Linked DNA regions of Coturnix japonica. The protein of the gene in region 4 purifies or fractionates together with the protein of the main gene of each other region. This does not show direct contact. Links are inferred from orthologs where the notes say so. Each region holds a gene or a part of one and is shown on either strand. Other genes may lie near its edges.

Region 1 (3,585 bases), on a different chromosome or scaffold from region 4:
TAGAAGAGGGAAGACTGCAAAGGAAAGTGCCTCCCAGAACCATCCATCACGCTGCCCTGCAATGCCTCAGTAAAAGACTTTTAACAAATGCTGAGCACAGGACAGATCTCATAAAAAAAGCCACTGTTCAGATTATTCTGGCAAGGAAGAGAATTGCATCTAGTACCCGTGGGGAAGTGTCTAAAGTAAAGTGACCTCTGTTCCTGGTTCTTGACAATGGAGATGCACAGTGAGGTCTGTGACTACAACAAAAAGCAGGGCACAGCAAATGCATACGAAGTACTGCTGGCCTCAAGGTACGCTGTGTGCAGGGAAACCATGTTGTGCATCCTGTCAGGGAGCTGGCAGCTTGGCAGCTCCAAGTTTCCAGAGGCAGACAGCACTGAGTATGGCAGGCTTCAGCTCGAGGGCATGAAATACATATAGGAATAGAAGAGGCTTAATAGCATAAGAGCCAGGTCTCACCCTGCACTGCTGCCTGACCCTGGTCAGGGCAGGTCATGGGGGGAAGCAGCAGCCAGCAGGTACTCTCTGAAGCACCGTGCTGCAGCTTGCATCTGCCTCTCTCCCACACAGTCATGCAGCAGCTTGACTCTGGTCCTCTCCCTTGTCTCTTAAGAGCAGCCTCCCTCAGCAGAGCTGACTCACCCAGGTGTGGCACAATGGCCAGGTCAGCCCTGATCAATGAGCAGTACAACACAGGCATGGGCTCAGATGCAGAGCACGGGCAGAATCTGTATCCAGCTCCACCTTGTGGGGCACAGCCATGGAAAAGAAGTGTGAGAGAGCAGGGACAATCAGAATGTCAACTTTGGCTTAGTTTTTCTTTCATACTCCAAACCCCACCTCCATCACCACATATTACAGTAACAGATGCAGACAAAACAGGCATTTCTTGGAGCTGATCTCTATTTCAAAGGCTCCTCCTGTTGGAATAAAATGTGAACACTGCTATGGGTACAAGACCCCAGAAAACTTTGCCAGCTTCTTTCCCTTCTTAAATACCCTGAAACAAATATGACTACAACAGCTCCACCCCTACACAGCTGTGAGAAAACTTCATGCAAAACAAAATAAAACAGAAACCAATACCAACAAAAACAACAGAATATTAAAAAGAAAAAAAGAAAAGAAAGAAAAAAACAAAAACAAGAAAATTATCCTCCAAACAGAAACACCCCTCCCTGGCTACACAGGTCTGGAACTTTCAGTGTTTCCTCATCATCCCTGTGCAAGGGATGGGCTTTGCCTAGACACAATCCAGCACAGAGTCACCAGCAATTCTCCACTCCAGCAGATTCCCAAGGTGCCAGACCCAGTCCTGTCCCAACTTGCAGGCAGTGTGCAGAAGATGTGGGTTCCTCTCTTGGTCACCCCGTGAGTGAAAGGACGGGGAGGCCCTGCCTTGATGCTGGTCTGCCCAGGACCATCTGGATGCAGAGAAGGCATTACATGGCAGCCAGTGCTTGCTAAGTAATTACAGTTTCTGCAGACCTGGGAAACATTCCCAGGGTTACTGCTGTCTTTGCTTAACCTATGGAAGCAAAGAGGGCAAAAAAACAACCACAAAATCCATATCAGCACTCCTGTAAGGTTACTATCTACTTCTACACAGACACTGCTTTGTCATTCAGCACAGGGCTATGCATGCTCCTAACTAACTACGGGGGCTCAAAGGACACTATGAGAGAGACATGATTTTTCAGGTTTCTGCAGTGTCTCCCTCAGGCCTTGCTTGATTCCTACAACTAGACAACATCTACGGTAACCCACAGACTTCCCACAGGCCCCACAGGGCACTGGTCCCAGCATGCTCCAAATGCCTCCTGTTCTCATTTAATCTGGCTAAGCGTGGCAAGCTGGGACCTGTACCCTTCAAAAGGAACACTGCTCATCTGACACAGAGCAGGACATCTCTGTGGACTGTTTCCCTATAAAAGAGAGGGGGAAAAAAAGAACCCAAACAAGAGCAACTGTGATTTGCTCCATTTAATTTCAATTAACTACAGCCCTTAGAGGCCAGGAGAGATGCCAATCTAGCAGTTGGTTGGCCATCCCCTTGGGCATGTCCCATTTCTCAAATGCCCCTTTCCCAACCAGGCCTTTGCTCTCAGCTTAAAGAAGTTTTAAGAATTCATTAAATCCCACTGTGTTAAGCTAATAAGAGCTTTAAAACCTGCAGTTCTTTTTCCTCTGGAGGCTGGAACTGAACAGCACTTGGGCAGGCAAGCACCCTGCTCTGCAGTGGTGACTCCGCTACCTCTGTAAGCTCCTGACAGCAACCAGTGTTGTTGCATCCTGTTAGAAAGACATGATGTAGTTAGGGCTGGAAAAGGAGCTAGTGAACTCCTCAAAGTGCTGATACCTCTTTTCCCTCCCTAAGTCGGGAAACAAGCAGCTTATTTTGCAAAAGGCAAGTGGTTCCCTAAAAAAACTACTGAAAAAAAAAAAATAAATGCAAAGGCTGCTCAGCCCCTTCCCCTAGAAAACTGTAAAAATGTTGGAGACACAGTGAGACACAGTGTGGCAGCAGGGAGGCTGGGAAGGCAGCAGAGGGACAGCTGCTGTCTCTGGACCGTGCCACAGCCATGACAAGGTCCAGAGAAGCCTGACTGTGACTTGTAGATGCTTCCTGTGGAGGATACAGGAGCTCAGGCCCTCTCTGCTCTCCAGCTCGTTGTTCAGTGGGCAGTAAGTGGCTGCGGCTGGTCACCACACTGTCCAGGCAGCTGCTGGTACGTTGGCATATCCTGCCCAAACAGACCTCAAGGCTGTTCTGTGATCAAAATTGCTGTCAGTGACCAGTCCCAGGTCAGGCTCCCCTCCTCCGGAGGTGTCTCCTCTGAGCATGCTGCTGCTCAGTTGCTCTCCACCAGCTTGGCTAGTCCTTGCCGGATCTCACTGAGCTCAAAAATCTTCACGTCCATTATCTCTGCCACCTTGGTGACCTCATTCTGGATCTTCTCCCTCTCAGACAGGGTCTCTGCCAGCGTCTGCTCGGCCAGGTGAAGGCGGCGCTCCAGCTCTGCATTGCGTGCCTCCAGCTCCTGCCAAAGGACACAATTGCAGTGAGGTGGCTGCCCCGGCACTGATACGTGCTACCCACAGATCACCACACTTATCTCCACCAAACAGTTCCATCAGCATCCCAGCACAAGGTTGCCCACACCCAGACATCGCAGGTCTGCATCAGCTCTCTCAATGGGGGCCCTCCCTACATTCAGCCACAGCATGCAAACACATATGAACATGTGTCCCCAAACCCAGTCATCTGCATGCAGTTTGAACTGGTGTTATAAGTGTGGATTTCCTCACAAACTGATCTTCAAGAGTGATGGCATCTGATGGTTAGAAATACTATCCTGGCATAAAAAGCAGCGCCTGGGTACAGGGCTGAGCCCTGTGACAGATCCCCTCCTTCTTCACTAGCTCAGATAAGCAAACGCAGGCAGTGCCCCCAGAGACTGCACAGATCGTGCTTCCATCTGTGTTCCTGCCCCGAGGTGCAGAGCAGCTTGCATCCCTCCTGCCAGCCAGATTGAGCCATAACAATTTTCCCTCAGCCATTGCTGGCCATCCAGCAGG
Region 2 (5,117 bases), on a different chromosome or scaffold from region 4:
TCATGTCTGTGAAGCCTCCATACTGCTTCTAGCATGAACTGTATCCACCACGACTTAGCAATGATGGCATCACAGCCCATGAGTATCAACCTCCAAATCCCCTGCCACCAGCTCAAGTAAAGGCAGTGCCAATGACCAGTAAAATAAGGCAGTAATTTGCAGCTTCCAAAATAAAATTTAAATCAGCTGTGTATACATTAGTTTAACATTATTAGTATGTTTACCTGAGATCTGCTTCTTTGGGATTTTTAAAATAACCAAACCTTTGCTCAAAGATGACCAACTGTACAATACTACCTCCTTTTTAAATTATTATTATTGCTCAATACTTTTGTATTGGCAATACAAAAGCAACACATTATGAACCAGCACAGAACATACTGAGTTCTGATTTATATAAAAGTCAAGGCTTTTTTACTGAAGAACAGTCATCCAGTGGTTGCAATCCAAGAGAAAGGCTCGCACTGACAAATGGCCTGCACTGACAGTGACTACTGCTCAGAACTTCTTATGCAACAGGAAGGACAAAATAGAAGAGGGAATGAGAGTGGCAGGTAGAGGAACCAGAGCAGACGTGTACTGCCCCTGGAGCTTCATTTACCTTCTCCTGTTAGTCAAGAGGGATACACACACATACATCAGGGATGAAGTACAAGGAACCCGATAAGCTGTTCTCAAGCTTCAAGTTTCTCACTGCAGCTTCAAGTATTTCACTGCAGTACAACTTCAGAGACCAGCAATGTACAGCTAGGTATGCACCACTCAGCTGCTTCATTTGTCAGATGGTACTCAACCAGCCAAGCAGGGTCAGTTATACTGGCAGAACAGGGAATTCTTTATAATAACCCATAAAGTAAGACAGCCATTGCTGATTAGCTAAGCTATTATTTCTACCCAGTTCCATTTTTTTCTTTGCCCAGACCATGGATAAAAGCAAACTCTCCACCATCCAGATACTACAGATCCACCATATGAACTCATGCATGATAGCAACCGAATATACAAAGATTGTTCCGAAAGTAATGCATTCTATTTATTTCCATGGGGACCTCAACAGATAGAAAGAGCACAAGAACTCCATTTGATAGAGAACATTTTCTCTATAAAATGCACTTTTTCAGCACAGTCGCTACCATTAGCCAACCTGCACGGAGCAGCAGATCAAGATGCTCTTCATTTCGTGGTCTGACAGCTGTGCAGAGCTGTCCCCAGCACGATTTGTCTTTCACACCACTACTGCCACTGCTGAAACACACCTCCCACTGCCTCACTCTGCTCACATCCACAGGTTGCTCTTCACAAACTTCCAGCAAGTGTCTGTGAATGTCAGTGGGTGCTACCTTTTCCACATGGGGGAATTTAATGCCACACCTTCACTTCATTCACACTTCCATGTCAGACGCCATTTTGTCAGACCGCCCCTCTACTGCCATCTGGCACAGCAACAACATGGAATGGATTATTAGGGGGACAGTTCAAGCTTTCCTGCCATACCACTGACACGTGCCCTTGATGCCGTGATCCAGCAGAATAAAATTGAAGGCATTACTTTTGAAGCAGTCCTCACATGGATGAACGCATGATTATCAGTCATTTTCCAACCTGCTTCTAACGGGCTTGATTTTAAGACCTTAACAGAGTATCAGAAGACTATTTTTATAACTGCAGTGTTAAGATTCTAGTACACGTTGGTCTCAAAATAGCCCAAAATCCATAGGGAACTGCATTTAGATGCTAATTCAAAACAGCTTTTGAAAGAAGACTCTGAACATCAGCAAATGCCCAGTACATAACTGCAGGTCTAGAGGGTTGGCACAGGCTTAGATGTGCTCCCCCAGACTTGCATGGCAGGGGGGGCCACCAATAACACACGCTCAGATTTCTGGTTATCTCCATCTTGCTAAGAGACTGTCTGCAAAGGAACTCAGTTGCCATACCTCAACGTGCATCGTCTGAAGGCTCTTCAAAACACAAGCCAACAACTTTTGCCATCTTGACCTCAGTGTGCCAGGATATCACCCTGAAGTCATCACAAAAACATCCCTGCATTATTTCTCCAAATATTTTTTTTTGCATAGTTCTTCAGTATTCAGCCTTTTCACCACTCTCTACAGATACCAGTTTGTTCATTGAGAAACTGCAGCACTCATGCACCAGCAGCACTAAGTTTATTAAATGGAGGGGGCTCTCAATCTTTTTATATATATATATATATTTTTTTTTCCAAATCAGACATTTGTCTTCAGAAAGCTCTGTTAGAGAAAAAACAATGCAACAATGCTTATTACTCAATGTTTTTCAGCATTTGCAGCAAGCTACACCTAAACAGCATGCCTGCAAATAACATTGATTTTAAATAAATGTTATCTTTTCCCATCATTCGAATTTTAAAAGGTGAAAAATTCTGTGCCTGTCCAGCAGCTTTAAGGATAAAGCCCCCAAATGTTGTACTACCATTCAGCCTTTAGCCAGAAGATATGACCACTTCCCTGAAGATGCAGACAACTGCAAGCTTGGGATTATTCTGTACATATATACATGTATATATATTTAATGGAAAATAAAAGCTGAAGACTAGCAAGACGTTCCTTTCTACACCTTGCACAGTGAGCGTGCCCCGCTGACTCGGAGTGCTGGGGAACAGCTGCCACCGCCACCACAGGCAGGTTCGTACATTGGAGAGTTCCATGTGCCTTTGACAGCTGGAGGAGCGATGCACCTGCAGCTCCACGTTACTGCACTATGCTAATTTACACCCAAATTCCTGAATGACCCAAAACCAAACGACTCGAGTTGCAACTCTTACACACTGAGCTACATACAGCGGTCTCAGAAAACCAGAGTCTTGTTGATGCATTAAAAGCCTGCCTCTACATTGCGGTTATCCAAATCACGTTGTGCTTCTGCTGCTTTGGAACATGGACGAGTTTCCACTCCATCCGGAGGTTACCAGGCAAGCACAGCAGTAAGCGTTATTTCATCATCTCTCCGTACAAAGGCGAGATTGCAAACGTGGAAAGTTTCCACAGGTATCTATGCCACTTTTATGTCTCCTAGACCTGATGCAGCTAGCTTCATTTTGAAGATTTAATTCCTTCCCATCTCCTTAAAATTTCGGGCGTATGTCCCCACGCGTTCGGGGGACGCGCTGTGAAGCGGATCTCTTTAAAGCCTCCTTCACATGTGGGCACCTTACACGCCCGATATCCCCCGAAGGCTCCAGGACAACCAGCCCCGGCCGCGCTGCAGCTCTCTCCCCACACCGAGCCCGAGCCGACCGCTCTCGGGCCCGACCGGGCAGGGCAGGGACCCGGCGGGCAGTCGACACGGATCCGACACTCGGCGCTACGGCGGGCAGAGCCCCGCATCCGTGCTCAGCGCCGATGGCAGCGGCACCCGCTCCCCGCTGCTCCCCGCTGCTCCCGCCCCCACCCCACCCCACCCCGCCCCGCCGCAGCCCGGCGGCCCCGCGAGGTGCTTAGAGGTGCTTACCCCATGGCGGCCGGCGGCGCCGGGCACCGGCGGTACCGCGCGGGCCGCGTCCCCGGGGCGCTCCTCGCCGCGCCGCGCCTCGCCGCGCCGGCAGCTCCGCAGCCCCGTGGCGGCGGTGGGGAAGCTCCGCCGGGCTTCCCGCGCCACTCCGCGCAGGCCCGCGGGTCGCGCCGCCGGCTGGCAGCGGCCGAGCCGAGCCGAGCCGCCCGCACCCTACGGAGCGCCCCCCGCGGGCCGGGCTCGCATGGCCGCCGGCCCCGCCGGGCGTCCGCAGGCAGCGGCTCCGGCCCCCGAGCGGGCGTGTGGCGGCGGCTCGGCGTGCGGACGGATCCCCAACCGCGGGTGGGAGGAGGCAGGGAGAGAAGGAGGGCCCGAGAGAGGGAGGCGCTCCCCTTTCTCCGCGCGGGGCTGGCGGCGGCTGCGGCGCTTGTCGCCGGGCGGTGCGCGGCCACCGAGCGCTCGGCGCGGCGCCTCAGAGGCGGAGCGGGACGGGGCGGGCGGTGCGCTCAGGGCTCCGCGCCGCCGCTCCCCCTAGCAGCGCGGCGGGCAGCCGTGCATCTCCCCGAGGCGGCAGAGCGAGCCGCGGCACCGGCATCGGGCATCGGGCTGCAGGCGGCGGGCACCGGGTCGCCGCGATCCGCCCGCCCGCCCCCGGCTGCGGAGACGCGGGGCGCCGCTCCTCCTTCCCGCGGCGGGTCCGCGCCTGGCCGTCACGCCTTCTGCTGCGGACAGCGGGCGGGCATCGCGCCGGGGCGCGGCGGGACGGGCGCTGCCAGCGGGCGGGGGGCGGGACGGGCGGCCGCCGCCCGGCCGAGGGTGCGCTGCGGCGGGGCCGCGGGCTCAGAGCCGGCAGCGGGGTGGGACCGGGTGGAGGAAAGGAGGGACGGAGGGAGCGGGCGGGGGACGCGGGGGGAGCGAGCAGCGCGTCAGGCGGTGCCCGGCTGCTGCGAGCCGCTGCCTGCGGCCGCCCGCATCCCCGCCTCCGCCTCACACCTCTGCCTCCGCCCGCTGTGGCGGTGGGCAGGCCCGGCCGGCAGCCGACCCACCGCCCCGGGGCTGAGACCGGGAACCTGGGCAGGAGCGGGAACGGAACCGGCCGCGGCCCCACAGCGCCCGGCAGCCAACGCCGGTGGCAGCAGCCGCTCGCTCTGCCTCCATCCTCCGCCCGCGGAGCTTTAAGTACCGCACGTCACCGCGCTCCCTACGCACCGACGTCACGCTCTGCTCCCGGCGCTGACGTCACCGGGTGCGGGGGATGATGTCAGAGCGGCCCGCGCCGCCGGAAGCGCTTCTATAATAGGCAATGGCGGCGCGGGGGGGCGGCGGGCCGTGTGTGCGGGTCGGCGCCGTGCGGCCGCCTCCGGGCTCCTCCACGGGCTCCTCTCCCTGCTCCTCTCCGGGCCGCCGCCGGCACTCGGCCGCCCCCGCGGCGCCGTCTCCGGGGCAACGCCGCGCCCGCCCACGGTGTGGCGGAGGCGGACCGGGAGCGGGGCGGGGGTACGGCACCCCGCTCCCACTGCCTGCGGGCGGACCGAGCCCGAGCCTGACCCGCGGGGGAAGCGCACGGCCATGCCGGGATCACCCAAGGACGGCTGCTGGCACTGCGTGCCGGCCGAACGGGGACG
Region 3 (4,556 bases), on a different chromosome or scaffold from region 4:
GCTTGACTTTCTGAAAGAGAAGAATGCAGTGAATTTACCAGAGTATTCAATGTTAGAAGTTCTATGGAGACGAAAACAAAGCATCCCAAACCACCACAGAATCCTTTCTGTAAACATTCAACGCGCTCACAAAAAACAGCACAAAGGTTTCGTTTTTCTAAGGTGTGTATTTGTTTCAAGTAAGTTCAAATGTGGGATCTACAGGTTCTGTTTAATGTTTTCAGCTTAGTAACAAAGCTCACCCATTCTTCTCTTATTCCAAACAAGCTTTATCATATTAAATATAATCAAAGCAAGGAGTAGAGCAATAAGACTGGTCATGATTGGTTTTGGTACTTATTGCACAGCTAATTGGCTATTGACATCATTGCCATGCTAGCATCCACCCAGCAGGAGGAAGCAGCTCTTGAAGGCACTGAAGGAACTAAACTTGCTTTATTAAAAAGAGAAAAAACCTGTTACTTAGACATCCACATCTGCCATTGCTCTCTGCAGAGGATCAACAGACCAGTAGTCATCATCCCAGCCCAGAAACCAGCCAGAGAAGGTTGGAGGCTCAAGCCCTTGCTTAACCAGCGTGACTGGAGTTCTCTTGTCGCGGCTGGAAGGATCGGTTTCAATGTATCGTTTAGCTGTAAAGGCACAAGGAGAAGAAAATCTCATCAAGCACAAATCTTATGGAGCAGCAGATGGATGTTAGAAATACAATTTCAGATTTTTCATTAAAACAAATAAGGTTTTAATTAATTATTAATTGACAAATAAGGCATTCTTGGGGAGAAAACACGTTAGGGCCATAAAATGCTCCAATATAACTGCAGTCTGTACCACCCACACAGGGATGCTGTTAGGGTCTGAGCACAGTGTCTAAATACCATACCTTCTTCTGCTGATCTTTGGGATCCTCTTTTCTCAGTCTATGTGATCACTTTGATCTCAACACTGAATGTTACAATTAAGATCCATTCCTCAGTATATTTAATTGTCTGACTTAAAAATCAGATAGTGGGAAAATAAAAAAAACACATTTATTTCAGAAGGAAAAACGTCATGGCATTACCAGATTTCAAAGCCTCAGTCTTTTCTTCCTCCTGGGCATCTTTTCCAATCCATACAAACACCTATAGATTAAAAAAAATAAACCACATTAATTGTTTCAGCAACAGCCAATGTGCCCATGAAAGAGAAGAAGGGCTCAGTGAACTGAGTACAACACTGAACAGCACCGTATTCCTCCTGGTGTGCCAGGACCCACCCAAATAAAGTTACTGGTAGATGACAGGAAGCTTTTTGACGGCAGTTTATCTGCTGTAAATTCTAATCACATGAACAAGTTGCACACAAGCTTAACATCAGAAAAAACAACTGATGTTTAAACATCTTTACATAAAACAGAATTCATCTCTAATTTCACTTTTGGCTGAGTCATGCACAGCAACTAACAGAGGTTCTGGGTGTAAGTTCTCTTTAGTGGCATGGGTGAGGTGATTTGTTCTCAGGCTCCAAGGCAAAAGGACTCTACAACTTCATAATTCTGTTGTGATTTTAATTTGCATCTCTAAATCTAGAGCTACATTGTGTGTATTCTTTGCTTCTCTGCTTGACAGGTAAACATGACACACCTGATCCCATGTGTCAAGGATCATAACGTCATCGGTAGCAAGGTCATCCTGAGTCAGATCTCCAGGGACTTCCTCAATCTGAAAAACATAGGATCAAAAGATGAGGACATTCTGCAAGTGTCACTTTACCTTTGCAAGAAGAAGCAGGGCTCCAGTTTCACCTCTTGTCAGCCTTTCATTCACGCTTAAAACTTCTAATGCTGCCTCTTGCTTCTTGAAAGATTCATGAGCTAAAATCTTAGGAATTGGAATGCTGGTGTTTAACCAGGGGAGGACCAGTCTAATGGTTCAGCAAGTTGCTATAGAGGTAGCTGCCAACTCTGCACAAAAAAATAAATGGTGCTAATACTTTCCCTTCTGGAGGCAACACTACGAAGGAAAATTGGGTGTAGCAGCTCATTAGTTGACTCAGGGCACACTCAGACTAAGTTTCTCTCAGCTTTGTCAGATGAATGTTGAATTAATTGACTGTCTTCCCAGATACTCACAGTGAAGCGTCCACTCTTGTTGGAGCAGGCAAAAAGACGAGGGGGGTGAGCATCCATCTTCTTGTCCTTCAGCCGAGGAGAGGTTCGGTAGGGAGCTTTTCCACCCAAAGCCGCCCAGAAGTTATCTGGAAAAGAAAAAGATACACTGTTGCCTCAACTATAGCTGGAAAACACAGTAGCAGTATGGCTTGGGTTGGACTTGAAGCATTCTTCCCAGAAAGTCCTAGAGGACTACAAACATGGCTTTGCTGTTAAACGTTATGAATGGAGAAGCCACCCTGCATCACGTTCACATTTCTATTTTCTGAGACAAAAAGAAAACATCCAGGAAATAACTATTGAGAAAGTGCAGCTACACAGAAATGACCTCAGACTTCATGTGTGTCCCTCACCTGGCTCTCTACCCTCAGAAACCTGTACTGGGCGAGCTCCCAGAACCTTCAGCAGCTCTTGTGCTCCTGACAGCTCTGCACTGTTGGAGCCTCGGCCGACCCAGAGGTAAGCAGCAGAGGGAGTTTTCAGGACAAAAGCATCATTGGAGTTCAGCTGACTGGCAGCAGGATCCAGCTGGAAAAAAAAGAAAGTTGCACGTGTGAGATGTTATCATTCGCTGTGTGGAGCCCGTAATTTCAAAATAAAAGTTAGTATCTATCCTTAAACAAATTTCAAACAAGATTTTCCATGCAAGCGTGTAGGCTTACAATATATGTTGTATATTTGCCTGTATCTGGTAATGAGTCAGGCTTAGTCATATGAGAAGAGTAAATGAACCTGTGCTTCTTTATACAGTCTACAGATACATATGACTTCCTGCTCAGATGCTGGGGGCTCTCATTTTGCCAGTCTTTATGGTTCTGTCAGGATACAGAAGAACTTGCTGGGGAGACTATCCTAGAGCTCCATCCCTGCTGCTCAGGCTGACGAATCATTAGCATAATGTTTGTCGCTATTTGTGCATTTTCTTTCAAATCAGTAGGGCTCTCACCCTGTACCCTGGCACAGGCTCTATTTTTTGTTTAGAGTCTTTAGCACTTGCAGTCTCCCACTGGTAACAGTGTGGTCACACAAGCTTAGAACAAGTCACAATATCCAGCACCAAACAGTATTTGAAAATCATTGTTTTATGCCAGGTGTAACATCTACCGTGGATTTAAGAGAGAACCATGTCAGTGTGTTTGAGGTGATATTTATAAACTGAAAAGATCATAATGACTGTCAGCACTTATACACCAGAAAAGAGACATCTTTTAACAGTTTCTAAAGGTTTAAACATTTGTTACAGTTTACATCAGAAAGCTCAGTCTGGCCTTCATTCGCAGAGAGATTGTGTCCCCACTGCAGTTTATGTATACAACACAGAAGCTGGCTCTCTTTTCACATACCTCTACAGCTCTGGTAGCTCCCGAGGTGCTGGACCGGACCTGGAACAGCCGTGTTTGTGCCGGTGTGGTCTGGCCTCCTTCCCGAGAGGTTCCACCCTTATAAACAATCAAGGGCTTTCCACCAAACATGCTCATCAGATGAGGTGGCTCTTTTCCTTGCACTACTCGTTTCTAAAGAAAAAGATAACCTGCTGTCAGCTTTAAGGCACTGATGAAGAGAAGCAGAACATATGCTGGAAATAGATTTGGCTGCCATATTTCTGGCTGGACTCTCCTTACAGAACTTATGGAGTTTATAGTCTTCACCAATCCAGCTGCCTTTGCAAAAATTGTAATTAAATCTACCCAGCGTGTTTTCTGCTTCTCCTAGCAAGTCCTGTTGGCTGCCAACATGTTGCATTAATTCATGTGAAATGCAGACTGTTAATTTCTGAGAGTTCTTAACACTAGAAAGCAGACAGCTCGCTGCCACCTGCAAGGCTTGTGAAAACTGATTTTATCCTATTTTTTCTCTGTCTGTTTTCATGTTTTTTTTAACATTTGCTTTTGTTTGTTGTTGTTTTTCACCTGCACAGGGGTGCCTCCCAGCTCCTCATCCAGTTGCACTGTGAGGAATGCTGAAGTCGCAATTTCATCTTGAGTGGAATGAGCACCCTGCCTGAAAGACAAGGAAAAACGTGAGGTTCTTTTCCCCAGCACATGCACCTTACAGAGATCAAGATGTAAGAAACACTTCTGGGCTATCAAACCTCAGCAGCACTTCATTCAGCATGAAAACAAAGTTCACTGTCTTAGACAGTCAGACTGATTGATTACAAGAGGGAAATATGGATGACCCACCCTCAAAGAAGCAGACTTCACAGCTCCACAAAGGTGCAACCTTTCTTACCAAGTGTAAATGATCTGCCCCTGCTTTCCAGCATGCCGGTAGTCATACAAGATAATGTAGCTATCCCCACCGTAGAACTGGCCATATGTTGCAGGATTCACTGGCACTTTCTCTGAGCCTTCTATTCTCCAAATCTAGAAAAGAGCACAGAGGGAGAAGAGCAGAATATAGTGAA
Region 4 (5,340 bases):
CCGCCAGGCACCAGGCTGGGGGAGGACGCCAGAGCTCCAGCGGCAGCAAATCAATGTGCCGCCGGGGTGTGCTGGGGCCGTCATGGAGACTGTTCCTTGGAAACCATTCCCCGCGGCTGGGAAAACCCTCTCGCACCCCCGCTGTGCCCCAATGAGCCCACCCGGGGCTCCACGGGACCCCCTGCAAGTCCCCAAGTGTGGGCAGGCAGCAACGTGGGGGGAGAACGCCGTGCCCTGAATCGGTCCAGGGCGGGTGGGCGAGGGGATGGTTGTTGCTAAGCAACCAGCATCCTCTATCTCCATGGCAACCCCCCATCCCAGCTGGGATGCAGCTCGCCCCGATGACGAGGTGATTAGTGGAGGGGAGCGGGGGAGGCAGGCAGGCAGCGGGGACCTGGCGGGCGCCCAAACCCACCACCATCACGCGCTGTGCCCGGGGAGCCGGGGCCAACCGTGCCGGACTCCCCCCCCAACCCCCTCCCAGATTATCGTTTTGCTGGGTGGGCGGGCAGCTCTGCCGATCGGCAGCAACACAGAGCCAAAATCCCTGCGGTGCTGGGGAGGGAGGAGCCCACCCGAGTTGGTGGCTTCCAAGAAGGGGATAGGGAGCGAGGATGGGAGATGGGGAGTGAGGATGGGAAGTGGAAGTGGTGAAGGAAAGCAGGGATGGGAGCAGGAATGGAAAGCGGGTGCCCCCCATGGGCAGAGCCCCGCACCAGAGCCACACAGCTCCATCCTGGGCCTCAGCTGCCTCCTTCCAGCTGAGAAATAACAGGAATTTAAGGCCTTGCCTAACAAAGAGGGGGAAACAAGGCTCCCTCCGCCCTGCAGCACCCGTAGCCCCCAGTCTCCCCCCAGCCCTGCTCTCGCAGTGAGCTACAGATAATTGCACCAACAAGATTGACTTTAATCCGCACATCCAAATCCCGCTAATCGGCCGCCTGAGCCGACGCAGCTCCCAGGCTGGAGGCAGCAGGGAGGCTTCACAGCGCTGAAAAAGGCAGCTTTTCCAGCCCTGGCTCTGCTCTGTTCCCCCAGGGACAGGGCTGCAATGTGGGGGGCTGCAGGCAGGACCGTGGGGTTCTTAAGGCAGAGTGAACAGGATGCAAAAGTAGGGCACAGCCAAGGCATAGCAGCCAGAGCACCCGCTGCCTGCTGCCCACCCCCTCATCCCCCTGTGTAGGGCAGCACCCTGAGCACATTGCTGCTGCTGGCACCCAGAGGTGCTCCTGCAGCTCAGCACTGCGGGTTCTGCCCTCAGAACAGCCTGTTCCAGCACCAGGAGGGACAGTTCCAGTGTTCCCAGCCCCACACAGAGCCCAGAGCATCACCATGAGCAGGGACCAACAGCACCACGACCCCACGGACCATCTCCTTCCATGCTTCCATCCCCCCATGCAGCTTCCCCAGCACCCGAGCTTTGACATCACCCATGGGTGACACAGGGACAGGCAGGGAGCAGGGGATGCTTGTGACCTGAATCTCCCCATCACTGACAAGGGGGCAGAGCCCACTGCCCTTCTGCAGCCTCCATTGCTCTGTGCCAGACCACAGCGGTTCTCCCGCAGCCGTCTGCCCCCCATGCAGGGTCAGGAATGGGGGGGTGCCCTATTCTGCCTGCCCCAACCCGGGCACATGTGTTTCCAATGTGGCTGCGAGCTCTAGGGAGTCGGCGTGCTCAGAAAGCAGCACCAAATTCCTTTCCTATCGAGTAATGGGCCCCAGCAGCCTCCGCGAGGCTGGGGAGGGGGAGGGGAGCCTCGGACCCTCCAGGACTGGGCTGGGGCGGGGGAAATCCCAGACTAAACATCCCGTGGCCACGGGGATCCCGGCATCCCCCGAGCCAGCTTAGAGCCGCACAGCGCAGCGTCCTCAGAGCCCCGGCTCGCCCTGCCCAGCTCCAACATTTGGGGACAGTCCCCCAGCCACGATGGTCCCCCAGCACCGCTCCCCATCCTGCACCGAAGATGGGCACCAGGCCCTGCAGTGGAGATGCTGCTCCTGCTGGCGCTGGGCACCAAGGGTGATGGAGGACTGGAGGAGATGGGGAGCACGGGGCTCAGACACAACAAAGGAGCTGCGGGGTTCAATACTGGAAGAGGGGTGGCCCACTCCCAGTGCTCGCCTTCCAGGGAATTGATTCTGCTGCTCTCAGCAGCTTTGGCAGGGAACGATCCTTTGCAGCAGATGCTGGGAAGCCAGATGTACCCGGGGCTGACAGCTGCCTCCTGGCCACCAACACGCTCCGCACTCACCCACCGTGCCACCAGCAGGGCTGGAGGGACCCAGAGAGTGGGACTGGTGGGGGGGGGCCATGCTCAGGCCCAACCAGCGGACACCCAGCAGGAGAGCAGCACTCAGCCTGGCAGGAGCTCAGCACGCATGGCACGCACCAGTCCCGGCTTCTGGGGTGCGCACAGCACCCCCACGCGACCACCCAGGGGACAAGGGCAGGGGGTCCCAGAGGGCAGCTGGGCGCTGGGGGCGGCAGCGATGGAGCTGCGGTGGGATTTGCTCCCTTATCAAAGCTGCATTGTAGCCTGGAACCACCAGGCCCCCAGCACAGGGTGCCAGAGGGATCAGGGTGCAGGTGGAGCACCCCAGAGTGCCGCCACCCCCTGCTCCGCTCACCGCATCCCAGCCCCGGGGCACCCCGCACGGCCCTCCCGGGGACCGGGTACCCAGCGCTCCCCCCGGGGCTGCGGGAACCGGGAGCAGCGGGGACGCCAGTTCCCTCACAGCTGCGGGCCTGGCTCCGCCGAGACCGGGCTAAGGGCTCCCCGTCCCCGCTAACCCACCCCCGGTTCCAGACAATGGCAAAACTCCACCGCATCCCAGTACCGGGCCCAGCACCGAGGGTCCCCCAGGCCCTCCCCACCCGCCGCTCCCCACGCGCGGTGCCGCCAGCAGAAAGGAGACGGGGCTCGGAGCGGGGCTCCCGGTGCCCCCACGTGCCGCCCGGCGCAGACAAAGCGGGGCCGCGCCCCGGCCCAGTGCGATGCGGTGCGGTGCGGTGCGGTGCGGCGGGCAGGTGCGGGCACCGGGGGCGTTGGGCCGGGCACACCTCCTCCGCCGTCCCGCCGGCCCCGCCCGCCTTTGTGTGCCGGGGCTCCGGGCCCGGTGCAGGTGGCGGGGGGCGGCGGGGCGGCACGGAGGGCGCAGCGCGGGGCGCGGTCCCGGTGTTGGCGGCTGCGTCGCGCTCGGTGCACCGGGCGGCTCCGCGCACAAAGGGCCCCGGGCGGCGGGGACAAAGGGGCGGCGGCGGCGACGGGCGCGCTCACCAGTCGGTGGGGCTGTCCTCGCCGATCACGTCCTGGTAGGAGGCGAGCAGCTCCAGGCGGTGCGCCGCGAAGCCGACGCCAGCCATGGCGGGGCCGGGATGCTGCCGGGGGACCGGAGGGACCGGCCGCCTGCCCGCCTCCGAGACACTGCCGCAGCGGCCGGGCGGAGGGGCGAGCGGCGGGGAGGCTCCGCCCGCCGCCGCGCCCGGTCCTAGCGCCGCGAACGGCGGGCCCCCCCTCCGCCCCGGCCCCCGCCGCTCCCCCGGGGCGACCCCTGGGGCACCCACCCCCACCGGCACCCGCCGAGGGGCAGAGCTCCTGGAGCGGAGCGCGAAGCTCGACCCGAGGAGCCGCTCTGCACCCCCGGCTCCAAATCCCGGCTGCGCTCCCTCTGGGCACCCCGAATCCCGCGGATGCGCCCTCGGTCCGCTCTACCCCGGGATCCCCGTGATCTCAACTTCCCCCACCCCGTGCACCCCCGGCCCTGGAACTTTCTTCTCCGAAGACCCCACACTGTCCTCTCTGCCCCGTTGTGCCCTCAGTGCTCCAGGCCCAGCCTTTGGGGTTGCCAATGGGATGAAGGGCTCCCCTCCATCCCCGCTGCTGTCAGATGTGTCCCTCTGCTCCCAACCCACCCCGGGCCCTTCCAGCCCTCGACGCGGACATCATCTCCCCCAGGTTGTGCCTCTGCATGAACCCATAAAGTTCTTTCCAAGCTGCCCCCGTCTGTGGTTCCGAGGTGCAGCCGTCTCCATTTGCTCCCACACGGGTCAGCACCCTCCTGCGAGGGACAGACACGGAATCACCCTGCCCGCCCCACGTCTCCAACCCAGGCAGGAGCCGGGCCCGCAGCAACCCGAGCAGTAAAGTGGGTTTAAACACGGGGTCCCGATCCCTGAAGGTCAGGGCACGGTGCCGGTGGGCGCAATGTACAGCGGGACGCAGCGTTTCGCTGCTCCCTGCCCACGCCCTGCTCGCAGCGGTTCCCGATCCGGAGCCGCCCTGCGATGCTGCGGGGTTTGGGCAGCAGCTGTCGAGCAGCTGCCGGCCGCGGCCGCTCCGCGATGGGCTCAGCTGCCCCTGGGGGTGGGGGCGGCGCGGGGAGCCGCGGGGCTTTGTTCTCGGAGCGGCGCGGCCCCTCCTCGGGCTCCACCTCCGCAGCCCACCCGCGACCCTCCTTCCTGTGCGCGGGGAGGGCGGGGGCCGCTCGGTGAGGCCGGCAGAAGGGAGCGGAGGCTGCGGGTTGCGGAAGGGCAGAGTGCGGGGGGGACTTGGCCACCTGCAGAAGGGCGAGCGGGGGTTCCTGCCCCCGGCAGAACGCTCCAGCGGATGAGCGAGGCGATTTTCCATACATCGCTCATCACGTTGAGGGCTGCAGTTATTACTGACCGCTGCAGCTGTCGGATCGGAGCGCTGGGAGCGGCCGGCCCCACATCCATCGCTCCAGAGCCTGTACCGGGCGGCGGTGCCTCCCGTCCGTCCTTCGGGGCACGGCCAGGACCGCTGTGCTCCAGCTGCTCGTGCCGGTGACTCGGTCCCTGCACGGGCAATGGGGCACAGCAGGAACACAGGGACGGTGCTGGCTAAGTGCGATGCCCTTGCGAGGTCACGGCTCAGCACCATCTCCTGCTCAGCGCTGCTGTTGCTCTGCCCCCTGGATTAATTGCTGCCTCGCTGCTCTCTGCTTGCTAAAACCAGGCAAGGGCAACCCAGGGATCTGCCAAGGTGCAAAGGAGGGGAAACCCCGGAAACAAAGCAGGACTCCAGGCGGGACAAGGGCCATGTGTGACCTTCCTGCCCCCACCAAACCGTGCCCAGCAAAACCACAGTCCCCAGACAGCGGGCACTCGCAAAAAAGTGTTTATTCAAGGCACTAAAAGCACCGTGGCTACATCAGACGCAGCCCAACTGGAAAGTGGGGGGGTTGGGAGAGGCATTTACAGTGCTGGGACAGCAGTGGCACACGCTCTTTGGTAGAAAGCAGTTTTCAAGCCTGATGGGAACCCATTAGCCAGAGGCTGGTGTGCACCCCCAGCCTACAGCGGGGGCAGGCATGGCA
Region 5 (4,556 bases), on a different chromosome or scaffold from region 4:
GAGGTCTTTGCTCTGCAGAAAGTTGAAATACAACACGATATTCCTCTGTTGTGAATTTTGTGACCTCTGTATGTGGAAGTGTATCTCATGGATAGTGAGACTGTTTCTCCATCAATATTGTCTTGTCTCAGAAAATGATTCCAGGAGCTGCTGTGGTTCTGGTGTCAGTGCAAAGGGCTGCTGTGTCGGTGTTGTTTTGGTGTGCAGGCTTGATATAGAAGTACAGAGAACAAGGGAATGTAGACCTGAAGAGGACAGTGGTTTCCAGGGGAATTGGGAAGTCTGGAAAGTGGTGTTTGTGTGTTGAATGGAGGTGTGAGGAAAGGCAGAGAGGGTCAGAAAAGCTGATAACTGCTGAGTGGGAAGGTGGGCTTGGACTGCAAACCCAACGCAGTTGTGTTTGTGTAAATGGCAGCACTTTGTCTCTATCCCACAGCCCATTTTGGAATTCCAGAATGGACCTGCCCTTTGCTTTTATGGACTTCAGTTTTACATGTTTTGAATATGGACAGAAGCCATCTGTTCCTTCGGCCTGGGCTATAAATAATCCCTTTTCTTTGTTTCCTGGTTTGTTGTTTGCTTTGCGGGTGCTGTCCTCAGTGCTGTGGGGATTACTTAAAGGACCAGCTTGCAACAATTGTTTGTCAGTAAATGCAGGACAGCCCCCTGTCTGGGGTATAATTAAACTGATCCGCACAAGGATTACTTTGCTAAGCAGCTGAAATTAGAGTATTGTCTGCAGGACTCGAGCGTGGTTCTTCCTTGTGCTTACAGAAGGGGTCTGTCATTCTGGTGTTGTAATGTCAATGTGAATTAGAATGATTTGAAAGTATTTTTAGCTACTTTTTCTGAATTCATTTAATCTGCCCTATTGTGATGGGTCAGGGATTGAAAAGTATCATCAGAATGCTTGCAAGGATGTAGCTTGATAGAAAAGATAAACAAAGAGCATCAGCCTTCCTTGGTACCCTCCAGAGAGGCATCCTCAGGAAAGGCAGGTGATTCTTGCAGACAGGCTGTAATGTTTTCCTGGCAGGCATCAAGTTTGTTTCCTCAGGCCCGCTGCAAACTTTCAGACTTCATGAAGCTCCTGTAATTTGAGATGCGTTGTATTTCTATTGCGTTACTGTGTGAACTGTGAAACCTGAGAGCGACAATGTGATGTCACCTTTAATTTTCACCATGTTGAAAATGATACGGTATTGCAAGTAAGCAGGGCTGTTCTGCAGTATGTTTTAATGTTGTCTGTGATCTTTCTGTGGCATGCCTGTGGCTGGAACGGCGTTTGTCAGCTCCGGTGTCCCTTCTTCAGTCCAACATCATAGCGATGGGCCAGGTGTATGCTTTTCCAGTGTTGTTTTTACCTTCGTGAGTGCTCTTTGTTGTTGGAAAGAAAAATGTGTTCATTAGCTCACTTTTATTTTCTCTTTTTCAGCTAGTGAGAATGTTAAAGACGTCTTTGTTGGAGCCAGAAATGGAAAGTACAGGATTCTGAAAATAGTCATTGACAATGGTTAGTCAAGTGTTACTATTTTTCTCTGATTCTTTTGGATATTTTCATAACTATTTGAGTGATTTTTTTGTGTACAATTTCTTTCAAAAACAAGAACACTCCCAAGCTTAATGTCACCGAGGTCTTTCATATCCTGAAGGTAGAGTTTGAGTTGTGGTGATGTTTAAGGTTTCATTGCGCTATTATTGAGTTAGAATACCTCTTCCAAATGTCATTTCATATTCTCCCCAAACCCACTGCTCCTTTCAGATAGGAGTACATGAAATGCCCACATCATTACCAAAGTTCATTCATTTATGGTACACTGAAAAACCCGTTAGCAGGAGGAAGGTTTATGCGTACATGCATACACATACATACATTTATTGTTAGGTAAGTAACCTGCTGTTATCTTCTTTGTGTTTGCTTAAGTTTTCCCTGCTTTTCTCAAGGTAGCGGCAGTAACATTAAAGCTACTGCTATTATACAGTGTGATCACTGCAGTAAAGCGTCTCAGCAGCGCAGGTTACTAAGTCTCGACATATATTCTTTTTTATTAGGAAAGTTAAAACAGTGTGCTTGTGTGTACCTGATACTTCCTAGTACAAAATGAAGGTCGTAAGTAGGGAGTGTCTTCCATTTTTATCTTAAACTTTTTTCTCTATGTGCTTGTGTGTGTATATATGTATACACAATTTGTCTGTATGTGTCAAAAGATACTATATGTACCAACTGCTATGGGCCCTTGAACTGCTGTTGGAACCATATAAACAAGGTGTTTCTCCTTTGGCTGTGAATTATTGAAAATTGGTAAATGTTTGGAAGATACTGAATAGTATTTTCCTTTGGAAGCTGAGATGTGATTTATATGTAAGAGAGAAATCTTGTTGCTACAGTTGTTCACATAATTAAATCTCATCTGAAGTATTCTTTATGGACTTAAGCCAATTATACACAATAAACAACTTCAGTAATTTAAAGAGACTGAAGTTATGAAGCTGTATTAGAAAGGGGTTTATCTACTTACACAGTCAAATTAAAGTGATTACTGCAAGTATGTTCATTCCAAATTCTTTTAACTATGCAACTGAGTAACTGTCTCCTTTCAGTGAGTACAAACATTGGAGTGTGTTAAAGCATCAGTAACTCTGATTTTAATGTTTAAAAACCTACCCTCATCTTATTTTTGCTTAAGTATTTCATGTTAAAAATAAATGAACTAGCAAAGGGCAGCTTTTGTTTCTTCTCTGTACACATTACGCTAAACACTGATATCAGTCACACCTCTTCAGATCAAAGAACTTGATGACAGCCAGTGTACTGCTCCTCAACTAATTGCATTTTGGTTAAAGTAAGTTAGGGTTTATGCGTACACAGCTTATCAGGAACTCACCTGCTATTGCACTGAGTGCTCCTGACTCTCATTCTTGTGGGCATGGTTACAGAATATGAAGCGTTTGATTAATTACAATTAATAACTGATTTTGAGAAGCATTATCAGCTATATAATTGCTAACTTGTAGTTTTGGTTATTGGTTTTAGAGCAACTTGTTCTGGGATCCTCTAGACGGCCACTTGGATCATGGGAAAAGGATTATGATGCTTTTGTTCTTCCTCTTCTTGAAGACAAGCAACCGTGTTACATATTATACAGATTAGATTCTCAGAATGCTCAAGGATATGAATGGATCTTTCTTGCATGGTCGCCTGATCACTCTCCTGTATGTAATAATCATGGAATCATAGAATGACTTGGGTTGGGAGGGACCTCAAGGATCATGAAGCTCCAACTCCCCTGCCACAGGCAGGGCCACCAACCTTCACATTTAATACTAGACCAGGCTGATCACTGTTTGATCCAAATCCTAAATGAGAAGCATTTGGGGAATGAAGCATTCCCCAACCTTCACCACACTTTCTGCCAAAGAAAATATGGAAACATCTTCCTTGAAGCTGTTTGTGAGTCTGGATGGAGCGCAGGTTGTCCAGCTTATTTCTAGCTCAGTCAAAGGAAAAGCTCACATTTTTGTGCTTTTTATTTGCCTGACTTTCTGTCAGTCTTCATGGAAATAATAGAACAACATAGGACAGAAATCCCTGTTGGTGTCATCATAGAGAGAAAGATGACAATTTGAGCTCCAGCTGCTTATTCGTTTTTGTTTGCTGGCAGACCAGTTGGCGTTTGTGGATCTGTGACCCACCTGAGAATGACTTCGTTCTTAGTGAGAATGGGAGGAAAGGGAAGTCAGCCTTAACAGATTCTAGGAGAAACTGGGGGAGGACAAACTCAGTCTAGTCCCAGATTCCTGCACTACTTTGAATAGCACTTAGGAAACAGTAGGAGGCCAAGAAATTGAGTGCATAGAAGAAATTGAGTGGAAAAGATGAGGGTATTGTGATGAGGATGGCATGGTGGTGAAATAAGCTGGGGAAAATGGGACTGCAGGGAGAGGAATATATATGTTGGACGCAAATTGATAGGAAGCAAGCATCATTAAGTCTTCTGCTCTAGAAAATCTCCTTTTTCCATCCTGTAGTTGTACTTGAACTACTAAATAGAAAATAATAATAGGTTATTTGCAGTCTGCTCTTTCTGTAATGTATCTGTTAGTAGACAGACTGGTGACAAATGAACTAAGCTGTTGTGTTTGTTTTTGAAATAGAAGTAGTAAGGATTGTGTTCTGTTTTTTTAAATATCATTATATTTTTAAAGCACATACTCTAAATAAAGCTGCACTTTGGCTTTGGAATTAGTTTAATAATAATGCATAGTAAAATCCCTTACTGTGCACTTGAGAATTTAATGGCGTATATTAGTATCATGCTCCAGAGCTCATTCTGTGATTTCATTTGTCATTAAGAAATGCTGTTTCAAACCTCACTTTCAAGTCTTCAAATACTTGTTCAAGAAGGCGGTTTGTTTGTGGATTTGGTACCCTAAAATGCTGCTGTACACCTGAGCTGTGTATGCTAAAGAGAAGAAAGAAATAGACAAGAAACCAATGCTCTTTTATGATATACCAGGTTCGTCAGAAGATGTTGTACGCTGCAACCCGAGCAACA
Region 6 (5,247 bases), on a different chromosome or scaffold from region 4:
TGGCTCCACACATCCCCTGCCATGGGCACAGGACAGCTCTACATCCAAAAGGCATTAATTAGCTGCTTGGCACTATGGTGTCCGGTGTGTGCATTCATGCAGCTCTTGCCAAAGTCAGGAAGAGATAAAGCAACTGGCCCATCCTGCAGGTTTGCTTTTTTGCCTATACATAGGGACGTATGAACCACCTGCAGTCTGCTGTGAAAACGAAACCCAGCCCTCAAAACCCAAATGCCCCCTCCAAGGTGACTGAGCAGCTTCCGCAGGCTCCCATGTATGAAGGCAGATCTTGCCAAAACAGAAGGGTGTCAGAACAGTGCGAGAAGCCCAAGTGGCCAATGTCATGCTGCAAAAAGCGGTGCAGAGCAACAACTGTGCAACAACAAGCAAGTTTTCCAACAGTCTGGCCATTAATTGCTGAGCCAGAAATTGGTACAGCGCTGTCACACTGCAGTGTGCGCACTGGGAATGGGCCGGGGAACAGCATAAAACAAAGCCCCATACACAGACAGTGCTGGCGGTGGCACAACTGCTTCTGCTTCTCTGGGGCCTCCTCCATCCTTGCACCAAGTGCAGGCTCTGCAGAGGATTCGGTCACGGAACAGGGCACTAGCACAGCTCGTCTGCCCACAGCTACATGGGATTTACCACCAAGCAGGTCTCATTTAAAAGCAACTTACATCAGGGTCCAGCTCTTCCAGTTCATTCTCCAACTTCCTGAGCTCCTCCTCTGTCAGGGCTCCTAGGATCTTGTCTTCATCCAGGTCCCGGTATTTCTCTAGCTCCTTTCTGTAAGACATCTTAAAGCAGTCTGTTGAATCTCACTCCTGTGCCGAAGCAGGACCTGAAATGCAAACACAGAGCATAGCACTGCCTGCATGAAACATGACCCGGCAGCCCTGCTGGCGGGGGAGTGCTGGCTATCACAGAGTTGCACAAGATTTATGCTCTAAGCGTGGCTATCTCCAGAGCTGGGTCAGATTGCTCAGGGCCCCCTGCCCATTTCCATGGTGCTGGACGCACCTCGCCCTGTGGTCTTGCAGTGTGAGACACCTCTGGGTGGGATCGCTGCACTGCTGCACCCCAAAGCCCACCCTTTGGGCAGTGCTCAAGGAGCCCCCTGGAGCCCCATGGCCATTTTCTGGCTCAGACCTGCAGAGGATACCAAACTTATTTAAAGCAAGTTTTCCTCAGCAGGGCGGTTTCTCTACACAACTTGCAGGGCAGCTGCTGTTCCAGATAGGAGAATTATCTTTAGCTTGGCCACAAAAGGGCACATTAACACGTACACAGCTCGATGGCAAGCCCTTAAATTTAGAGCCGACATCTGCTTGGATGCTCGGCCTCTCCTGGCAGGGCTGCAGTCCCCGCATTCCTGACACTCAGCACCTGGGGCTGGGGAATGATGCCTCACTCGTGGCCGCGCCAGCAGGCAGCTCATCTCCCAGCACATATTAAGCACCCACCTGGGGCAGCTCTCCCTGGCCCTCACCAGGGAGTTATCATTACAGCACAAGAAACACGGCGTCAACCAGCACCTCTGCCACTACTATTGGGAGGGACTGCAGCCACCCACAAAGCAGGTCTTCCCTGGTTCTGCAACACGTGGACAACTGCTGACTGCTGCTCACAAGGGATACGAATGCAGGTGTGCTGTCATGGGGATGAAATGCAGTGTAATAGCATCACACCTGGAGCCAGCATCCCCTCTTGGGCAGACCTGAGCAGGGTGTCTGCTGGTCCTGCAGGGGACCATGCCCACACTGTAGGTCTGTACTGCCCACAGAGGTTATTCCCCTCCAGTGAGCACCAGTGGAGCTGCATCTGTATTCTGCATCCAGTGTGATGCCTGCAGCACAACAGGGGTCTGGGGGAGCTGAAGGGGTACAGAGCAGGGCGCTACGAGGAATTCTAAGTGGGGATCTGTGAAAAAATCCTTGCCACAAAGTGATGCAGATCTTGGACAGGGACCAGATAGCTGGTGGGAGCAGCACTTGGGTTTGCAAAACTCACCTGGAGAAGGACCTGAGCAGCTTGGCTGAGCTTTGGGACTGGGCCCAAAGCTCAGGAGGATGACAGACAAACAGGTTCCAGAGTTGCCTTCCCATCTAACATTTCCACAGTTTGGCCTTAGAAGAATTCACAGGACTGTACAGCTGCCCAGATGCCTCCTCCCAAAGCCAGGATGGGAACTGGGCTGCAAACTGATCCCCACTTCTGACAAGAATAAAACAACTACCTTCTACATCCACTTCATTTACCCCACTGAAGCAATGTTCTTGCGGCTGTGATTCACATCTGAACTCACATGCTGGTTTAGCTGCCTTCCCCAGCAACACGCTGTTAAGGCACCACGAGCTCAGCCATGGTTGAAGGTCACCTTGGCTAAGCCACTTGCTCCTGCAGCAGCGTGTAACCCAGCCTCCAGGAGGCTGTTATCCTATCTTGCTTTGCAGCTTTCTTATGTCAAGAAGCACGTGTGCAGCCTGCAGAGTAGCCAAGCACCACAGAATTATGTAGGTCTGGATAAAAACTTCAAGATCATCAAGTTCAATCATCCCAGTTCTCAACAGAGCAGAGCACACAGTGTCAAGGACACCCCTGCTCAGTGAGCAGCGTCCATCAGGCACATCTGCATCCTGGTGATGGCATAAACTCAGCCCAAGATCTGCATTTCCTCTGGACTGACAAAACCTTTATGGCCAGCAGCTGTTAACGTAAGGCACAATGTGAAGACTTCAAGATATTTGAAAAGCAGCATCTGGAAGGCATCATTTTGGACCTGTCAAAGCACACCTGTTCTTCCCAGCCCGCTCACTGCCTGCAAGCCATGCAGCTCAGCACTGGCTCTCATTAAGCAGCCTTCATTATCAGCACGCTGTTAATGCAACACAACCGAACAGGCAACACGTGGTGGGGTCAAACTCTACCCAAGTCCCATCGCCATCCATCTCAGCGCCACCGCTGCCTCTGCGTACACCTCAACACGGCTCCGTGTCCTCCTCCTTAGCGCCAGGCTCACCCGCTGTTTCTTAAATGCTCGAGCATTTAAGAATACCCACGACAAGCCCCGGCTCACACCTGAGTCACAATCAGCGCCATCCGCTCAGCTCCAACTCTGCAACTGCAAACGTGCTTCGGGAATCGCAGCATCCTCCGACCCGCGCTGCCATTAACCCCGACGGCAGCATCTCGGACGGGCAGAGCATCACCGCACTGCGGGCTCATCCCGCACATCCATCGCCGCTGCCCCAGGGAGCAGCGCCGGTCTCCGCAGCGTGTCCGTCCCCGGGGGCTCCAGATTTACCCGTTCCCGACCCCTCAGGAGCAGCAGAACACGCGGGTCGGGCTGCGAAAGGAGCGGCGCCCTCCGAGCCAGCACGGCGCGGCGCACCCGGAGCGCACGTACCGCAGGCACCGCACGCGGAGCCGCCTTCGCTTGTCGCCCCGCCTCGCTCCGCTCACCCCGCAGCCCGGCCGGCACCCAGATGCGGTGCCGGGCGCTTCTCCTGCCCCGCCGGGCTCTGCTTGGCGCACAGCGGACGGTCCATGAGGGCAGCAGCGCAGCGATCAGCGCGGTACGGCGGGGAGGAGGATCTTTCACACCCGCCTCCAGCCCGGAGGAGAGGAGCACAGCCCCCGCTTCCTACACATCCCACACAGTCTTAGAGCCTGCGATGAAACACACACCTGGCTGCCCACAGACACCATTGTGCCTCAGGGCACATCTCTGGGTGATGCCTTAGAATATTCTTACCCTTAGGGGAAACAACAACAACCCCCAGCCCAATATTTTGGAGAAAGCAATAGGAATGTGCTGGTTTGAGCACCCCAAGCCTGCTCAAAGTGCTAGGTGGTATGGTGTACCAAGAGAAGGAGCAGCATCCAGAGGTAAGAGGCAGCACAACAGGGAGCAAAAAGCAAGAATAACTTTGAGAGCAAGGAGATCAACGTTGCAAACAGCCGACTGTTGAACAAATACAACACATTAAGGTATTCTGTTCTCCCTGTCACACTCTGGTCAGACCTATTGTAATCAGAACAAGCAGCAGCAGCAGCCCCCCAACTGGCTGCCCCTGTTTTATAGCTTTCACATGGCAGCACATAGTACAGGGCATCCCTCTGGCCAGTGTTGGGCTCTGTGCCCCTCCAGCTCCCTGTGCCCCCTCACTGCTGGGCAGCACCAGGAGCTGAAATGCCCTTGTCTCTGTGCAGCGCTGCTCAGCAACAGCGAAACAGCATTGTGTTATCACACTCTTTTCATCCCAAACCCAACACGCAGCAGCTGTTATGAAAAAAATCAGCTCTATTCCAGACCAAATCAGGATGCTCCTGCATGCACAAAGTAATTCTGTTGAGTTTGCTTATACAAAGCAGCTAGGAGTGAAGACTTCAGACTTCACCCATGCAAAAGCAATCATGCTAAACAAGTACAGTCCTTGCTTCTTAAGGCTGTTCAGATTCCAGAGCAGCCACCAGCTACAACTGGGAGTGGGGGGGGATAAGAAAAGAACCTCAAAAAGCATCTTCATTCTCCTGAAGATCTGCCAGGCTCTTTCCAAGTGACAAAAATTCTACTCAAAACAATAAATCAGGGAGAACCCAGCAATGGCAATAATCATGCTTTAATAGCCACGAGATGAGAAGCCCACCAAAATTAAGGGGGAAAAAAAAAAAGCCTCCAGAACAGTTCAGCGCTGTTCTACTGATAAATAACTTTTTATTTATTTAGTATTTCCACCCAAACATTCTGGTATTACAGTAGTAAACTGTTATGGTTTTGCAATTTGGTTGGTGTTGGTATTCCACATCAGAACACCATGCTAATAATGGGAGTAAAGGGGACAAGTTTTTTTTCTGTGAACTGCCTTAAATGGGCATGTGGGGGGTGGCACCAGAAGGGAAGTGAGGAAGGGGACGGGGTTGCTGGCCCGGCTCCCTGCGAGGAGACAACGTGTTCAGAGCTTCCTGCCTTCCACAGCTCCATCGGTGAGATTGGGGACTTGGTATTCTCTTTGAAACTCTCTTGTTGTTGTTTAGTGTTATTAGGTTATTAAACTGCCATTCGTTCTCAGATCACCTTTTTTTCTCTCCTTACTTTTTGTTAGACTAATCGCAATCTCCCTTCCTTCCCCGTCTTCCTAAACACACGTGGCCGGGCCGCCGCGATTGCCGCTAAGAGAAAGAGGGGGGGGGCTTTTGTTCCTGCTGCCGGGTTTGTGCCCACTGTCCCGGAGTGAGCTCTAG

Evidence for each region.
Region 1: the proteins of DBN1 (region 4) and HOMER3 purify together in Homo sapiens (co-immunoprecipitation; 3 studies listed by BioGRID and IntAct, counting the BioPlex papers as one, with this or other methods). This does not show direct contact. The link is inferred for Coturnix japonica from reciprocal best matches to the Homo sapiens genes DBN1 and HOMER3.
Region 2: the proteins of DBN1 (region 4) and HOMER1 purify together in Homo sapiens (co-immunoprecipitation; 3 studies listed by BioGRID and IntAct, counting the BioPlex papers as one, with this or other methods). This does not show direct contact. The link is inferred for Coturnix japonica from reciprocal best matches to the Homo sapiens genes DBN1 and HOMER1.
Region 3: the proteins of DBN1 (region 4) and GSN purify together in Homo sapiens (co-immunoprecipitation; 3 studies listed by BioGRID and IntAct, counting the BioPlex papers as one, with this or other methods). This does not show direct contact. The link is inferred for Coturnix japonica from reciprocal best matches to the Homo sapiens genes DBN1 and GSN.
Region 5: the proteins of DBN1 (region 4) and TWF1 purify together in Homo sapiens (affinity purification with mass spectrometry; 3 studies listed by BioGRID and IntAct, with this or other methods). This does not show direct contact. The link is inferred for Coturnix japonica from reciprocal best matches to the Homo sapiens genes DBN1 and TWF1.
Region 6: the proteins of DBN1 (region 4) and TMOD1 purify together in Homo sapiens (co-immunoprecipitation; 3 studies listed by BioGRID and IntAct, with this or other methods). This does not show direct contact. The link is inferred for Coturnix japonica from reciprocal best matches to the Homo sapiens genes DBN1 and TMOD1.

The regions. Positions count from the first base shown.
Region 1 is NC_029543.1:2,761,249-2,764,833, reverse strand, and holds part of HOMER3 (homer protein homolog 3), read right to left. Parts: intron 3,048-3,585; coding exon 2,859-3,047; 3' UTR 1-2,858. UniProt on the Homo sapiens protein: Postsynaptic density scaffolding protein. Binds and cross-links cytoplasmic regions of GRM1, GRM5, ITPR1, DNM3, RYR1, RYR2, SHANK1 and SHANK3.
Region 2 is NC_029547.1:12,909,832-12,914,948, forward strand, and holds the start of HOMER1 (homer protein homolog 1), read right to left. Parts: upstream 3,557-5,117; 5' UTR 3,498-3,556; coding exon 3,493-3,497; intron 1-3,492. UniProt on the Homo sapiens protein: Postsynaptic density scaffolding protein. Binds and cross-links cytoplasmic regions of GRM1, GRM5, ITPR1, DNM3, RYR1, RYR2, SHANK1 and SHANK3.
Region 3 is NC_029532.1:6,892,974-6,897,529, reverse strand, and holds the end of GSN (gelsolin), read right to left. Parts: intron 4,516-4,556; coding exon 4,382-4,515; intron 4,151-4,381; coding exon 4,060-4,150; intron 3,664-4,059; coding exon 3,493-3,663; intron 2,678-3,492; coding exon 2,503-2,677; intron 2,236-2,502; coding exon 2,111-2,235; intron 1,701-2,110; coding exon 1,623-1,700; intron 1,122-1,622; coding exon 1,061-1,121; intron 633-1,060; coding exon 463-632; 3' UTR 148-462; downstream 1-147. UniProt on the Homo sapiens protein: Calcium-regulated, actin-modulating protein that binds to the plus (or barbed) ends of actin monomers or filaments, preventing monomer exchange (end-blocking or capping).
Region 4 is NC_029528.1:11,963,723-11,969,062, forward strand, and holds the start of DBN1 (drebrin), read right to left. Parts: upstream 3,478-5,340; 5' UTR 3,368-3,477; coding exon 3,282-3,367; intron 1-3,281. UniProt on the Homo sapiens protein: Actin cytoskeleton-organizing protein that plays a role in the formation of cell projections. Required for actin polymerization at immunological synapses (IS) and for the recruitment of the chemokine receptor CXCR4 to IS.
Region 5 is NC_029516.1:27,268,012-27,272,567, reverse strand, and holds part of TWF1 (twinfilin-1), read left to right. Parts: intron 1-1,435; coding exon 1,436-1,513; intron 1,514-3,034; coding exon 3,035-3,213; intron 3,214-4,517; coding exon 4,518-4,556. UniProt on the Homo sapiens protein: Actin-binding protein involved in motile and morphological processes. Inhibits actin polymerization, likely by sequestering G-actin. By capping the barbed ends of filaments, it also regulates motility.
Region 6 is NC_029547.1:62,602,249-62,607,495, forward strand, and holds the start of TMOD1 (tropomodulin-1), read right to left. Parts: upstream 3,427-5,247; 5' UTR 3,410-3,426; intron 1,137-3,409; exon of another isoform or gene 1,024-1,136; intron 977-1,023; exon of another isoform or gene 845-976; 5' UTR 801-844; coding exon 681-800; intron 1-680. UniProt on the Homo sapiens protein: Blocks the elongation and depolymerization of the actin filaments at the pointed end. The Tmod/TM complex contributes to the formation of the short actin protofilament, which in turn defines the geometry of the membrane skeleton.